2 linked regions of the Oryctolagus cuniculus genome follow. The protein of the gene in region 2 binds, or shares a complex with, the protein of the main gene of each other region. Links are inferred from orthologs where the notes say so. Each region holds a gene or a part of one and is shown on either strand. Other genes may lie near its edges. The genes, in order: BSG and XKR8.

Region 1 (8,673 bases), on a different chromosome or scaffold from region 2:
TGAAATTGCCTCGCACCAGCGAAGTCAGGTGACCTGGGAGCAGCTCCAGGAAGCAGAGGGCCAGGGCTGCGGAGAGTGGACCTGGGGGCTGGCCGGGGCTGGCGGGGCTGGCGGGGTGGGCAGGGCCTCCAGGGAGGAGGCCAGAAAACTGGGTCTCAGACAAAGCAGCTGCTGCCCCGGTTCTGGGAACAAAGGCCAAGGCTTCCGGGCAGCCCTGGAGTGCTCAGGGGCTCTGGGAGGGCCAGCAGGGGGCAGGAATTCCGCCCTACCCGCCATTGTTTGTGCAGCCTCCTGGCCTCATGTCCTGCACGTAGCCACTGGCTCCCTGCAGGCCTCCAGGGGCGGCTGGGACACTCCAGGCCCCTGCTCGCTGCTGCCCCTGCCAGCGGCTCCTCTGGCCTCCGCCTTCTGTCCAAGGCCCTCTGCGCAGCCTTGGGCACCCCGGGCTCCATCCACCCCTGCCTGTGGCCTCTCCTGTGTCAGCCCAGGTGCCGTCCCCAGCACAGAGCCACACGGGAGCCCCTGCCCCGGTCACTCACATCCCCCAGTGTTCCCTGGAGACTCACTGGTGCCCACACTTTCCCCCAAAGAGCAGCCCCATCTCCAGGAGCAGTCAGTCGGCCCTGGCTAACCGCGAATCCCCCTCCCGTCCCTGTGAGGTCCCGTCATTGGAGCCCCTGTGTCTGTGTCTCCACGGCATGGCCGTGGCGTCCTCGGGCCCCTCGGTTACTGCAGGAAAGGCTGTGGAAGCCGTGGGTTCTCGTCTTCACGCAAGAAAGAATTCAGGCGTGAGACAGAGAGCGGAGTGCTGAGGCTTTACTGGGGACAGGGCACCCGTCAGAACACTGGGGACAGACAGCGCGCGCGCCCAGTCGCTGGGACCGGGGGAGAGTGAGGTTCCGTGGTTGAGTGAACACACCTGGGCAGCCCAGGCGGGCGGGCGGCTCAGCAGAGAGGCAGAGGGCTCCCGAGGTGCTTAAGGAAGTCTGTTTACCCACCTCCCCTCTCCTCCAGGACAAAGGACAAAGGAGAACCCTGGTGGAAGGGTTTGTTGGGTGAAAACTAGCAAATTCCTCACCAGATTTGCTGGGGCCAGGCAAGGCAGAGGGACTTCCCTTGGGGCGTCTGAGAAGGTTTTATTGCCCCGTGTTATCAGGTCAGGTAACCCCTGTGGTCCTGAGAGAGGAGTCTCCTGGGGGAAGGGCTGGGAGTCCGAGCAGGGTCCGAGCAGGGCTTCGAAGTGCAAGGTGCTGGTCTCCAGGCTGTCCCTACACACAGAGGCTGCCTAACACCGCCACACTGTCCCGGGCCAGAGCCTCCCGGTGCATGGTATGCATGGCCCTGTTCCTGTCGATGGCCTGTGACCCCAGGGTTAAGCAGTGGCTCTGCTCTTCCAGGCACCACTTCGTGTCCCCAGCGGCAGGGTGCAAAGGCCCAGCCCGCCCTGCCCCCCGCTGGTCAGACCTGCTGACTGGCTGAGGACGCCTGTTCAGAGCCTTCGTAGACTTCGCACAGGTTTTACTGATTTATTTGAAAGGCTGAGTGACACAGAGAAATCTTCCATCCGCTGCTTCACTCCCCAGATACCTGCCACAGCCTGGGCCAGGCGGGAGCCCAATCCCGGTCTCCCGCGTGCGAGGCAGGGCCCCCGGGGACCTGGGCTGTCACACAGGGCTGATGGCAGTGGCATGGAGTGAGGGGACGCCACAGCCCAGGTCGGCGTGCCTGGGGCACACCCCGCTTCCTGCTCACCCACCACGCGGCGCCCATGCCCGGATGGAGCTCCCGGGCCCCTGCTCTGGCCCATCCTCACTCCACCCCTGCCACTTTCAAATAAATAAAATACAACTGAAACAGCAGAAAGCGAGCGCTTTCCGGGTGTACCTGCTGGCGGGGATGGGGGAACCCGTTCTCTTAGCCGAGGAAGAATCCTGAAGGCAGAGGCGTGGCCGGCCAGGCAGCAGCAGAAGGGGCAGGCAGCCCAGGGGAGGAACGGGTGGACCCGCGCCCGCCACCCACCCAGGGAAGCCAATGCCGTGCGGCTACACAGGGACCGCAGCTCATCTGCACCCAGACTGCGGACTGTGCGGCGCTCCTCCCTCCTCAGCCACAGGTGAGGGGTGCAGGAGTGACGAAGGAGGCATCCGCCCCAGGTGAGGGGTCCAAGAGTGATGGAGGAGGCACCCGCCCCAGGGGAGGGGTGCAGGAGTGATGGAGGGGGCATCCGCCCCAGGGGAGGGGTGCAGGAGTGATGGAGGAGGCATCCGCCCCAGGGGAGGGGTGCAGGAGTGACAGAGGGGGCACCCGCCCCAGGGGAGGGGTGCAGGAGTGATGGAGGAGGCATCCGCCCCAGGGGAGGGGTGCAGGAGTGACAGAGGGGGCACCCGCCCCAGGGGAGGGGTGTAGGAGTGACAGAGGGGGCATCCGCCCCAGGGGAGGGGTGCAGGAGTGACGGAGGGGGCACCCGCCCCAGGTTCCCCGGCTCAGCGCTGTCCCGCGGGGAGCCCACGCAACCCCGGGCACAGGACGGCCTCCTGTCCAGTACTGGGCCTGGGCGGGATCCCGCGGGGTAAAACTCGGGGCGCTTCCCCGACTCCTGGCCCTCCCCAGGCCGCGCTCGCACGCATGCGCCGACGCCTAACTTCCACCCCGACTCCACGGCACCTGGGCGCGCGCGCGGCCTGCGGCCCTCGTCTGGGTCGTGGGGGGTCCCAGCGCCGTCCCCAGCAGGGGTGCGGCAGGAACGTGCGCGTCTGAGCGCGCACCCTAGCCCCCGAGCCCTGCCCGGGGTCCCCGCTACGCCGCGCCGCCCCCGGGGTCCCGTGGCCCGCCCGGAGTCACGTGGCCCGCCCCGGCCTCCGCAGCCTCCGCCCGCCTGTCCGGCGCCCGCGTACGTGCGTGTGTGCGCGTGCGCGGAGCGCCCGTAGCCCCCACCACCACCACCGTGCGCGCCCCGCCCCCGGGGCACCGCCCTGCGTGCGCGCGCCCGGCACGCGCGCCCGGCCGGTCTTATAGGGGCCGTAGCCGGCAGCGGGCACGGCGCTCGGTGGACGGCGGACGGCGGGGACATGGCGGCTGTGCTGTTCGCGCTGCTGGCGCTCGCGCTGCTGCGCGCCGGGGGCGCCTCTGCGGCAGGTGGGCGCCGCTCGGGGGCTGCGGGCGGGGGCTACGAGCCGGGGCGGGGGGGCTACGAGCCGCCGCCGCCCCGGGGGTCCCGGCCCGGGCCCTCGTCGGGAGGGCGGCCACCCTGCAGAGCAGGGCCCCGGGTCTCGGGGGCCGCCGTCCCCCTCCACGGTGCACGCGGCCGGGGCTGACCCCCGCGTGGGACGCCGCTCGTGGCCCTCGGCTGCAGTCCGCGGCCGCTGCCCGGGCAGGCTGGGCCCCGGGATTATCATTCCTGCGGGGATTTGGCCGGCGGCGCGCCCGCGTTTGCGGGGTCTGCGCGGGCGTGCGGGCCCCCTCCTCCTCTGCCTGTTGGGGGTGGGTCTCCAAGGTCACCGCGAGGTCGCCCAGGCCGCTGGGGGGAGCCCCGCGTGGAGCCCCAGGGCCCGGCCGGGAGCTCCCGGGCCGCTGCTGACCCACTTCGGCGGCTTCCTCTTCCCGGTCCCCGGCCTCGACCGAGCGCGGGGGGCGCGAGGGAGCCCCAGGCGGCGCCGGGTTTCCTGCGGGGCCCCCGCGGAGCGCGCTCTGGCCCTGCCGGGCTTAGTCGACCGTACCCCGGGGCCGGGGGCCGTGCGGGATCTCAGCCCTGCGCGGAGCGGCGGTGTGCGTGGGCGCACGGTGCGTGGTGGGGTGTTGCTTCCGACTTGGCTCCCGGGCGCCTTATATGGGTGTTCGGGTCTTGCCCGTGCACGCTTCTGCTCTCTGTGCGGGGCCTGGCCGCGCTGGGTTGGCCACCTCCTGTCCCCCCGGGTCGGGGCCTGGCCAGCTCTGTTCTCCAGGCGCACAGCCGCGGGCCCCCGCGGGGGTTAGCCCAGGAGGGCCGCACTCTGGCCCGCCCCGAGCAAACGCTTAACCTCTGGCCTCCGGGGGAGGCTTGGCTGAGGGTGGGGCGGCAGAGGCGAGGCCCCCAGCGGGTGGGGCCCTTCCCTCCCGAGCGGCCCCGCCTTAGGCTGGGCTTGTTTACCGAGGCCGCGCCTGGCCCCCTGCCCGCCTGGCCGCTCTCTAGTGAAGGTGACTTGAACCTGAGTTGCAGATCACGTGGGCCGAGTGGAGCTGTGGCTTTTCTGAGACTGACCCTGGGGCTGGATGTGGCGTGGACTGGGGCGGCCAGGGGCCTCACCCCAGGGAGCTGGGCCACCAGTGTCCCCCTGACGTCCAGCTGCTCTTGTCGGAGGCTGCGTCTGTCCCTTGGGGAGCGCCAGGTGGTGCAGACCTGTGGAGGGGCGGCCGGTTCCCCACCTTGGACACCGGGGCTGGGACAGCTGCGGCCAGGCTAGTACGGCCTCTCCCGGTACCTGCAGGCGGCCGGGGTGTTCGGGGGGCACCTCGGCTTCACTTCCTGCCTGACTCAGCTCTGCCAGGGCTGTGGGATTTGCAGCTAGGGGTCCTTCTGCTGGAGGCCACCTGGGCTGGTCCAGCGGCCTCCAGGCGGGCCAGGGAGGCAGGTGCCTCGTCCCCAGGGCACCTGGGGCCGGAGCGTCAGGACCCAGGGGAGGGTGGACGGGAGCCCCTGCCCGCCCCTGTCCGCCTAGGCAGTGTCCAGGACCCTCTGTTGTGTTCAAATAAGGAAGCCGATGATGGCCCGGGTGTCCGTGCCAAGAGGGCCCTGCGCCCCTCACTGTCCCCACAGCTGCCTTGTTCGCAGAGCCCAGCGCCCGTCCCGTGACCTTAGGGGCTCAGCCCTAGCTGGACATGCGTGTGCTCCCCCTGCCCTGCCTTCCGTGGGGGCAGCCCGCTCCTGTTCTGCCGTGGGGGCCTCACGCTCTCGCCCTCTCCCCGTAGCTGGCTTTGTGCGGCCCCCACTGTCGCAGGAGGGGCGGGCGGGGGGCAGCGTGGAGCTGCACTGTGAGGCCGTGGGCCGCCCGGTCCCCGAGATCCAGTGGTGGTTTGAAGGGGACGGCCCCGGCGACGGCAGCTCCCAGCTCTGGGACGGCGCCCGGCAGGGCCGCGTGCACATCCACGCTGCCTACCGCGAGCACGCGGCCAGCACCGTGTCCATCGCCCAGCTCAGCGCCGAGGACGCGGGCACCTACGAGTGCCGGGCCAGCAACGACCCCGACCGCAACCACCTGACCCGGCCGCCCAGGGTCAAGTGGGTCCGTGCCCAGGCCAGCCTGGCGGTCCTGGAACGTGAGTGGCAGAGACCTGCCTCAGTGTCCCTCTTGTGCCATCGGCTCCCACCCAGTAGAGCCCAGGCCCTCTCCTGCCCGGTTCTGTCCCTCCCACCCACCTGAGCAGTCTCTGGCCTGGATGCGGGTGGGCCCCTCGCCCCCGTCCTGTCCGCCCATGCGTCCATCGCTCCGACCCGCTCCATCCGTGCTCCCTCCCTCCGTGGGCGCCTGTCTGGCTCTTGTCCTGGTCGGTGGGGCTGGGTCTGCTCCCTGGGTCAGCCCAGGTTCAAGGCTCTCCGGACCTCCCATGGGAACGTGCTCAGCTGACCGTGAGGCCGCTGTGTCGAGCCTGGGGTAGAGCGGGGCGGGGCGGGAGGTGTGGGCGTGCTGCAGGGCTGCTCCTAGCCTAGCCTAGCCGGGAGCTGATGCCTGGGCCACACCCCCGTGCACAAGGGCCCTCCGGAGGGCACCCTCTGAGCCAGGCCTCGGCGTGGCGGAGGGCCGACCCCTCCTCTCCTGCCCCTTGCTGACCTCTCGCCGTGGTCTCCCAGCGGGCACCGTGACGACTTCTGTGCAGAGCGGGGATTCCTGGGTGCAGCTCACCTGTACCTTGAACACCAGCGCCGCGGGCGTCACTGGGCACCGCTGGCTGAAAGGGAAGGAAGTGGTGAAGGAGGACCAGCTGCAGGGCCTGCACACCGAGCACAAGTGAGTGCGGGGGCCGGGGCCGGGGCCGCCCAGGCGGACCCTCCTCCTCCCTCCCGGGGGCTGGGGCAGGGGGCAGGGGGCCGGGTCTCAGCCCGGACCCTCCTCCTCCCTCCCGGGGGCTGGGGCAGGGGGCCGGGTCTCAGCCCGGACCCTCCTCCTCCCTCCCGGGGGCTGGGGCAGGGGGCCGGGTCTCAGCCCGGACCCTCCTCCTCCCTCCCGGGGGCTGGGGCAGGGGGCCAGGTCTCAGCCCGGACCCTCCTCCGGGGGGCAGCCCGGGGTCCTGCACGAGCCCCTCCACGGGCCCAGGCTCACAGCCGCTTGTCTTGTCGCAGCGTGACCGGGGACGACAGGTTTGGCAAGTACTCCTGCCTCTTCCTCCCCAAGGACACGGGCGAGGCCACGCTGACCGTGGACGGTGAGCGGGGGTCATGCTGGGGGCCTCGGGTGGGGCTCCTGCCGCGCCTGGGGTGCGAGGCTCCCTCTGGCTCCCCCCAGGGCCCCCCAGAATTAAGGCTGTGAAGAAGTCGGAGCACGCCAACGAGGGCGACTCGGTCACCCTGCTGTGCAAGTCGGAGTCCTTCCCCTTCGTGACCGCCTGGGTCTGGTACAAGGTGGCCGACTCCGGGGACCAGGTGAGGGCGCGGGGCAGGCCAGGGGGCGGTGGGGGGCCCACGGGGCGCCCTGTGGGGCCGGCCTCAGCCTCCCCCTGCCTCCTGCCCCCAGGTCATCCAGAACGGCTCCCAGAGCAGGTTCTTCATCAGCCACTCGGAGGCCCAGTCGGAGCTGCACATCAAGGACCTGGACCTGACCTCCGACCCCGGCGAGTACGCCTGCAACGGCACCAGCCTGCAGGGCACGGACGCGGCGGTGGTCACCCTGCGCGTGCGCAGCCGCCTGGCCGCCCTCTGGCCCTTCCTGGGCATCGTGGCCGAGGTGCTGGTGCTGGTCACCGTCATCTTCATCTACGAGAAGCGGCGGAAGCCGGATGAGGTGCTGGACGGTGAGTGACCCCCAGGGGGCGCCACGCCCGCGGCTCAGGCCCAGCCGCCCCTCAACTGCTCTGCAGGGCCTGGGTGTGCCCAGGAGAGGGAGGGGGTGGGGACGGGGAAGGGGGGGCAGCACTGACCCCTGACCCTGCCCTTCTCTTCCACGTGGCTGTGGTGCTCAGACGAGGACGCCGGTGCCGCGCCACTGTGAGTCCCGCTGTGGGGGGGGCACGCTGCAGGCTCCCTGTCCTCAGAGCTCAGCTGGGCCCTGTGGGAGTTGGGGGGGGGGGGCTTTGGCCACTCAGGGGGCCAGGCTGCAGGCCCTGTGGGGGTTGGGGGGGGCTTTGGCCACATGGGGGGCCAGGCTGCAGGCTCCCTGTCGTCAGAGCTCAGCTGGGCCCTGTGGGAGTTGGGGGGGGGCTTTGGCCACTCAGGGGGCCCAGGCTGCAGGCCCTGTGGGAGTTGGGGGGGGGGCTTTGGCCACTCAGGGGGCCCAGGCTGCAGGCCCTGTGGGGGTTGGGGGGGGCTTTGGCCACATGGGGGACCAGGCTGCAGGCTCCCTGTCGTCAGAGCTCAGCTGGGCCCTGTGTCTCCAGGAAAAGCAGCGGGCACCACGTGAATGACGACAAGGGCAAGAATGTCCGACAGAGGAACGCCAGCTGAGCCGGCCGCTCCGGGTTGGGGTGCAGCTGCGAGGAGCTGAGCCCTGCCCACCAAGGCTCCGCCCAGGGCTGGAGGCCACACCCCTACACCTGCCTGCTCCAAGGCTCCGCCCAGGGCTGAAGGCCACACCCTTACACCTGCCCTCCAGGCCCCTTGTGGGGGGGGGGACCCTGCCCTTTGAGGAAGGTCACAGGAGGCCCGGCCTCCAGCCTGTCTGGCCACGCCCTGCGCTTCCATTTTTATTCCTGGCTTCTGAGGGCACAGGACAGCTGTGGGGCCTCAGCTGCCCGCAGGGTGGCAGCCTCGTCCCCCAATAAAGACTGACCCCACCCGTGCACTGTGGCTTTGTCTGCCCCCAGCTGCCCCAGGCTGTGGGGGTTGGGGATCCCAGGCTGGGGCGGGTAGGAGGACTGTGTTGGGCCCTCTGGTCCCTGGAGGGAGGGACAGTGACCACCCTTGGAGCCCAGGCCCCCCACTCCTGCTGGGGATGGTGGGGGACTTCCTGCCAGGCTCAGACCCCTCCCCCACTCCCACACATGGGAGGAACTTCCTGCCAAGCACAGACGCCCCCCACACACGGGGTGGATTTCCTGCCCGGTGCTGGCCCCCCAACAGGCTTCCTGGACACGTGGCTGTGGCGCTCTGAGACCTGGTGCCCCCGAGTCCCCTGCAGGGGCCACCGGCTGGGCCGGGGCAAGCGTCCACTTCGGCCCTGAAGGGTACTGTGGGTCCCCAGGACCAGGGGGCCCGCCGCAGCTGCACAGATGCTGGAGGGAACTTGGGGAGCAGGGACTTGGGGTGAAGTTTGGCTGCGGTGGGGGCGGTGATGTGGGGCCTCGGGCCCTCAGCCAGCCTCTGCACCTGTCCCTTGGCTGGCCAGCCCCTCCCAAGTTCACTGGGAAGCCGGAGATCGGGTCAGACAGGGATAGGAGTTCTCCGTGTTGGAGGGATGCCACGCAGGCTGAGGGTGGATGGTGCAGTGGGCTCTGCTGCCTGGGACGCCAGCGTCCTGCGCCCTGCTGTCCTCCCAGCTCGGGCCTGGG
Region 2 (6,993 bases):
TGGCATAGCGGGTAAAGCCACACCCCCGTGGGAGACCTGGAAGAAGCTCCTGGCTCCTGGCTTTGGATCACAGCTCCGGCCGTCTCGGTCAACTGGGGAGTGAACCAGCAGATGGAAGTCGTCTCTCTTTAACCCTGACTTTCAAATAAATAAATCTTTAAAAAAAAAAAGTCTCACTTAATGACCAGACTTGGAGGATTCCACGAAGCTTTACTAAAAACCTAATAATACTGTAAAACAACACTTAGTGTCTGTCACGGGCCAGGACGGAGGTGCATACTCTGAGGTAGGCAGTACACTGGCGAAAGGAAAAAAAAAAAAAAAACACTCAATGGCTGTGCCCGGCCAGACCACAGGTCCCCCCCATGGCACTGGTGGAAAGGCAGCCTCCTGCGAGCAGAACAGGGGCTGGGCCAGCTGCACCAAGCCTCTGGAGGGGCCGCCAGGGACTACCTAGCACCAGGCTTTCCCGGCTTACAGGCTTTGTCGGAACAGGTAAGGGATGAGGCCAGGATGGCAGCCGCTGTGGTTCTGGGTTTCAAGGATCGAATGACGTTCCTGACCCAGAAAATGCTCTCAATAGAGAACTGTTGAAGGCACCAAATGGAGGTGTGGAGAGGGAGAATTCTAGAGAGCATCCCCTGGGGGTCCTGGGGCCCCAGGATGGGACGGCACCTCCACTGGTTATTTTAGGAGTGGCTGGGAGACGGGAGTGCCAGCTGTGGGGCGCTCTGGGGCCCCCGCTGCTCTGGTTGGGGGAAGAGAACAGGAACAGGTGGTCTTCTCTCCCTAAGGCACCCTCTAGACAACTGGGGCCCAGAGCCCCGTTTCGTTGTATGCATGGCAGGCTGCCGTGGCAGGCTCTCACCCTGCCTCAAAGGACCCCATTCACTTCTCCCTTCCCCGGCAAAGCAGCCTCATCCTTAGCCTTGGGGAAAAAGTTCTTAGCCAGCTGGGTCATGCGCCTGTTCTGGGGCAGCGGACCCAGCTCAGAGGAGAGGAGGCTGCGGGCCCCATGGGCCCCGTCCACCCGGTCAGGATCCCAGCTGCAGCGAGGGTGCAGCCAGCAGTAGTAGACAAGGCGCAACACCAGACCCAAGAGGAAGCAGATGCCTCCCACAGGCAGCCATATGTGCAGCGGGATCCCGCCGGGCAGCCAGGGGCTGTGAGTCACCCAGGTGGCCACCAGGAGAATACTGTCACTCAGGAGGAACGCCAGGTGGATGGTGGCCCGGCCTCGGGTGTGGCCCTCAGCCACGTTGAACCAGGAGAAATAGAGGATGGTGGCCACCGTGGCCCGGTACAGCCACTCCGAGCCAGGGTCTGGCATGAAGTCTGTGCCCTGAAGCCACACCCAGAGCAGCAGCACCAGCCACAGCCCCAGGAAGTGCAGGGCCACGTAGCGGGGGAAGAGGGCCGAGAACAGGGCCACGGCCAGGACCCGGGGCCCCAGCAGCAGCAGGTTCCACAGGAAGTAGACGGCGGAGGAGCGCAGGCCCAGAGGGGACTTGGAGGGGAGGCAGGTGCGCAAGGCCTGGTGGTAGTCCAGCAGCGCCCACGAGATGCCCAGGAAGGACGTGCAGATGCCGACCCCTGTAGGAGGAAGAAGAAAGCGGTGAGCCCCGTGGGCTCCCAGGTACTGCAGGGCCCTCCCAGTGACCCCGAAGCAGGGATCTGTGGCAGGAGAACTTTAAGCTCACACAATAGACACCAGGGTCAGGACTCAAACACGGAGCCTGCCCTTGACTGGCTTTCCAGTGCTCTCACGAGGAGAGCGCGTGGCTGGCAGCCGTTCGCCAGCACACAGCACTGGTGCAATGCGTCCAGAGCCTCTCCCAGGGCCCCAGAACCCTCCCTGTCCCGAAAGAGCCTGAAAATCACCAACTCCAGTGCCCCAATTCTCCCTCCTGGAGAGGGAGGCAGGAAACCCCATGGGAGGCTGCAGCTGCCCTCCCGTCTCCTCCCTGCTCAGACCAGGCCCTGGTCTCCACTGTCCAAGGTCCAGGAACTCCTGTCCCACCTCCCGGTCTCCCAGCACCAGGATCTCCAGGAAGCACAGGAGGTCCCTAGGAGGCCTCCCGCTCTGCCCCCTCCCTGGCTCCTGGCATTCATCCAACAGATGCTCGCTGGAAACCCCCAGTCTGGCCTCAGATCTGCAGCCAGCCCCGCCCCAGGCCCCAGCAGGGCTGCAAGCTCTGACCTTGCCCAGGCTGCTGGGCTGGCCGCAGCCTGACCCCCTCCTCCCATTCAGCTGTGTCAGGCGCCCCCGGAACTCCCCACCCACTCCTGCCTGAAGGCTCATCACCCAGGAATTCTTTCATTTCTGGCTCCTGAACACTCATCTGGGATTCCCGTCCAGTGTGTGGCACATGATAAATGCTTGCTAAGAAAAAAATTGGGAAAAAGATAAAAAAGAACTAAAAATTAAAAAAAAAAAAAAAAGAAGAAAAAATTGGGGAAAATCTGCCTCCCCACCCCACCTGCACGCAGACCGTCTCCACTGGGCCCTGGGGCTGGCACCTTCTGCTCTCCCACAAAGCCGGGCTCAGGGAGCGCTCAGTGACCGGGGCAAGGCGCTCTGCCTCCCTCTGCTCTTCTGGAAAATGGAGAGGAAGACGGCAGCGACCCATAGCTTCTGTGAACACGAGCAGTGGGGACTACGGGCCCGTTCCACAGAGCCCGGCCAGCGGCACGTGCTCAGCCGCTATGGCTTCTTCGGAGAATGGTGCAGGCTCCCACCTGCAAGGTGAGAGGGCCCTGGAAGCTAAGTCCAACCCCGTCTCGCACAGCCGCGGAAATGGAGGCCCAAGGAAGACCCTGCGGTCACACGGGGCGTGACAGGTCGGGGTGCCACACGAGGCCGCGGCATGTGGGGGCAGGCGTTGTGAGGTGCCGGGAGGACTGGAGGTGGGCGGGTGCTGAAGCGGGGCTGGACCCCGCGCCAGACGTGAGCAAGCATCCCGGCCTAGCGTGACCACCAGCTGGGTCTGCAACCACGAGCCAGTTCCTTCCCTTGCACGGGCAAAACCTTTCCTGTCCCTCTGCGTGCTGCACTGTAACTGCCCGGCCTTCCTGGCGGGGCAGCGGCTCTGTGCATCTTGGTCACTGCCATGTGGGCGGCACGGGGACAGGCACAGCAGGGAGGCCCTGTTCTAACCCGGGCGGAGGAAACCGCCTGAGCAGCACACGGTCTGTGATGCGTCAGGCTCTCCACACGCTCCGATCTCTGCAATCTTCAAGACAGCAAAGACCTCGGAGGCGCTGTGGCGTACTGAGCTAAGCCTCTGCCTGCGGCACCAGCATCCCATATAGGCGCCAGTTCAAGTCCCAGCTGCTCCACTTCTGATCCAGCTCCCTGCTAAGGCACCTGGGAAAGCAGCGGAAGATGGCCCAAGGCCTCTGGTCCCTGGATCCACGTGGGAGACCCAGATGAAGCTCCTGGCTCCTGGCTTCAGTCTGGCCCAGCTGTGGCCGTTGTGGCCATTTGGGGAGTGAGCTAACAGTTAGAAGCTCTGTCTCTCCATCTCTAACTCTGCCTTCCAAATAAATAAATATACATCTTTTAAAGACAGCACAGATGACAACCGAGACTTGCTAAGTGCCAGCCACTGGGCTTCATGTGCACCCTTCCCCCACGCCCTGTATCCACCCGACAAGGTAGGAGTGTGTCTGGCTTCCATGTTTCAGCTGAGACCAAACTGACGCTCCGAGAAGTCGTGCCGTCCATCCCAAGTCCTACCACTCAAGAGTGACCAGATTTGAAGCCAGGTCTGCCTCCCTCGGCTGCCTCAGTACAAGAGTGAGCCGTCAGTGGCGTGGGAGGGGGACGCCTTGTCAAGGCAGGGCGGGGCAGTGCAGGGCACTCACACTGGAAGCACTCGGCCCCGCCGCTCTGCAGCACGATGGCGAGCAGCAGCGTGAGCTGCGGTGTCGTCTCCAGGAAGGTCTCGAAGAGCCGCAGCATGCTGATGTCCAGGGACAGGAAGTCCGCGTAGGCCTCGTGGAAGTCGGAGGGCGCCTCCTGCCGCCACACCCGCAGCCCCTGCTGCAGCCCCTGCAGGCACCTGGTGGCACACACAGATGCCCGAGGGCCAGGTCAGCACCCTGGGGTGCAGGGTGCCTCAGAGCCCAGCTCCCCACGTCCCTGCTGTGGGGCCTCGGGCAGGCCACGTAACCTCTCTGAATCTGTTCCTTCCTCTGGAGAACGGGGATAAATGCAGCTTCGACTCTGCCTGCACAGTCACTGCCTTCAGATCCCTGCGAGCCTTGACCTACTGACTCCCCCAGAGGAGCCCATTTCACAGATAGGCAAGGGGATCTAGAAGTTACTCAGCTGGGGCAGTGCTGTGGCCCAGTGGGTAAGCTGCCTCCTGGGACTCCCGCGTCCCAGGGAGTCCTGGCCACTCCGCTTCCCATCCAGCTTCCTGCAACTGCACCCTGGGAGGCAGCAGGGATGGCTCAAGTACTTGGGTTCCTGCTACCCACAGGGGAGGCCTGGATGGAGGCTCCAGGTCTCCAGGCTTCAGCCTGGCCCAGCCGCAGCTCTTGCAGGCACTTGGGGAGTGAACCAGTGTCTTTCAAATAAATACACATTATATATTTATATATATATATATATATATATATATATATATATATTTACTGGCAGAGTGGACAGTGAGTGAGAGAGAGACAGAGAGAAAGGTCTTCCTTTGCTGTTGGTTCACCCTCCAATGGCCGCCCGAGGGCGACGCGCTGTGGCCAGCGCACCGCGCTGATCCGAAGGCAGGAGCCAGGTGCTTCTCCTGGTCTCCCATGGGGTGCAGGGCCCAAGCACTTGGGCCATCCTCCACTGCACTCCCTGGCCACAGCAGAGAGCTGGCCTGGAAGAGGGGCAACCGGGACAGAATCCGGCGCCCCGACCGGGACTAGAACCCGGTGTGCCGGCGCCCGCCACAAGGCGGAGGATTAGCCTATTGAGCCGCAGCGCCGGCCATAAATGCACATTTTTAATAACAATAGCTTTAAGAAAAAAAAGCGGCATCTAAGAAGCAGTGGAATCAGACTTGGACCCAGAGCCCTACATAGGCTATACACTGCAGTGTGTCTGAGTATCTCTCGGGATCCTCGGGGCAAGCGGCTGAGCCAGGGAGTTTCCGAGCACAGGCAAGGCGGGGCGAGATCCCGTGGATGGCGGAGGACTGGAGCGCTGGGCTAGGAGGCTGCGGCTGCCGCACAGCTCAGGGAGAGGCCTGGCCCGGAGAGGCGGGGCTGCGGGTTGGGGCACAGTCCAGAGGGTCCAGAGGTTGCGCAGACTGGGGAAGCCACTGGCGGGGGCGGGGCGAGGGCGGAAGAGGCACAAGGGCTCTCCCAGCCGGAAACGGCCTCCGCAGGCGACGGGGAGGTGAGCCCATTCACTCACTGCAAGCTCATTCATAAGACGCTGTCACTTCCCCTGGCACACTGGTTCCCCCCAGGCACAAGCAGGAACACTGACCCCACTTTTAAAGCCGAAACGCAGTCCAGGGTCTGACGCAGGCTCAGCAGAAAACAGGAGACGGGCAGAGGCAGGAGGAGGTCACGGGTTGAGGGCTCGGCGAGGCCAGCCTGGGGCTGTAATACCCGTCACTGCGCCCCTTCGTGCCCGCCCGAGGTCCTACTGAGGCCTGGACAGTGCCCCCGGCGACTGCCACATCCAAAGCTCCTCTCGCGGCCACTCTTGCAAACTGTGCTGCTGTGCCCCGCAAGATCCAGGGCGGCGGGGGATGTGAAAATGGATCCAAGGGCTGAGCCCGCCCGGGCGACCCCTCCTGACCCCATCGCAGGGCAGGGCTGTGACGCCCTCCTGACCCCATCACAGGGCAGGGCTGTCACACCCTCCTGACCTCATCACAGGGCATGGCTGTGTGACACTTTCACTTTCCCCTCTCCGCAGGACCCTGCCACACCCATCTCACTGCCAGCTGTGCCCAGCAGGCTCCATGGATGAGTCAGAGGCCACCTCTGCCCTCAGGCTCGAAGTCTGGGGGTGCGCAGCCCAGGTTCAGGGCAGAGGCACAGCTGGGCAAGTGAGGCGCCCTGTGCGCTGCTGCAGGCGGTCAGGCTGCCGGGACTCGGGCGTGGTCCAGGTGACCAGGCAGCTCCCTCTGCGCCAGGACACTTTACAAGTGGCATTTAATCCTCACCAGAGGGGCAGGCCTTCCTGCCATCCCCACTGGAACCCTGGGTACACTGAGAGCTGGGGCAGTCGGTGCCTTGCCAGAGGTCCTGCTGGTGCTGAACTGGGTGAACTCTCACGCAGGTACCTGTCACCGGTCACTCACTCTCGACAGCGCCGCCCACAATACATGTCTGCAGGTTACTGCCTCCACTGGGTTTTGTTTTGAGAAGTAGAGACAGAGAATTATTTTCATCCAGTGGTTCACTCCCTAAATGCCTGCTACAGCCCAGACTGAGCCAGGCTGGAGCCAGGAGCTAGGAACTCAGTCCAGCTCGCCAAGTACCCAAGCCATCATCTGCTTCCTCCAGGGGTGAGCGCTAGCAGGCCGCTGGAGCAGGAAGCCGAGCAGGGACTCCAACCCAGGTTCTCCGATATGGGATGCAGAATTCTTAACCACTAGGCCTCCTTCTGCCCTCCCTGCTTTCTATAGAGGAGTAAACCAGAAATGAAGCCACAGGTGGCAAAGCCAGAACTGGCTCCAGAGAAGTCTGACTCCAAAGCCATGCACCTGCCTTTCTCTTCACCTGCGCCAGGAAGGGCAGGGCTGGCTGAGCTCCGAGGGCGTCTGCCAGGGTTAACCTCTCCTGAGGCCATAGTGCCCACAGGGGCGGGGGTCTCCTCCCACGCCCCTCCCCGGTGTCAGGAATCTCACCGCTACTGGCAGCCCGGTGGAAGGGCAGTGTCGTTCCCCCCCACCCCGAGGGCGGGGCGCTCACGTGTCCGGGTGGCCCAGCAGCCGCAGGTACCACTTCCCCTCCCCCTTCCCGAGGGCGGGGCGCTCACCTGTACAGGTA

Evidence for each region.
Region 1: the proteins of XKR8 (region 2) and BSG are in contact, whole or in part, in a cryo-EM structure (PDB 7DCE), measured with the Homo sapiens proteins. The link is inferred for Oryctolagus cuniculus from reciprocal best matches to the Homo sapiens genes XKR8 and BSG. Residues at the interface, in NP_060523.2 of Homo sapiens: His232, Leu236, Val239, Leu242, Trp243, Leu246, Gln247, Arg280, Gly283, Arg284, Ile287, Phe291, Ser294, Asp295, Leu298, Ala301, Thr302; in NP_001719.2 of Homo sapiens: Trp326, Pro327, Gly330, Ile331, Glu334, Val335, Leu338, Val339, Ile341, Ile342, Phe343, Tyr345, Glu346, Lys350.

The regions. Positions count from the first base shown.
Region 1 is NC_091447.1:58,338,971-58,347,643, forward strand, and holds BSG (basigin precursor), read left to right. Parts: upstream 1-3,055; 5' UTR 3,056-3,068; coding exon 3,069-3,135; intron 3,136-4,944; coding exon of another isoform or gene 4,945-5,292; intron 5,293-5,824; coding exon 5,825-5,981; intron 5,982-6,313; coding exon 6,314-6,396; intron 6,397-6,476; coding exon 6,477-6,613; intron 6,614-6,704; coding exon 6,705-6,981; intron 6,982-7,149; coding exon 7,150-7,174; intron 7,175-7,563; coding exon 7,564-7,630; 3' UTR 7,631-7,964; downstream 7,965-8,673.
Region 2 is NC_091438.1:143,675,564-143,682,556, forward strand, and holds the end of XKR8 (XK-related protein 8), read right to left. Parts: coding exon 6,983-6,993; intron 4,065-6,982; coding exon 3,868-4,064; intron 1,594-3,867; coding exon 875-1,593; 3' UTR 191-874; downstream 1-190.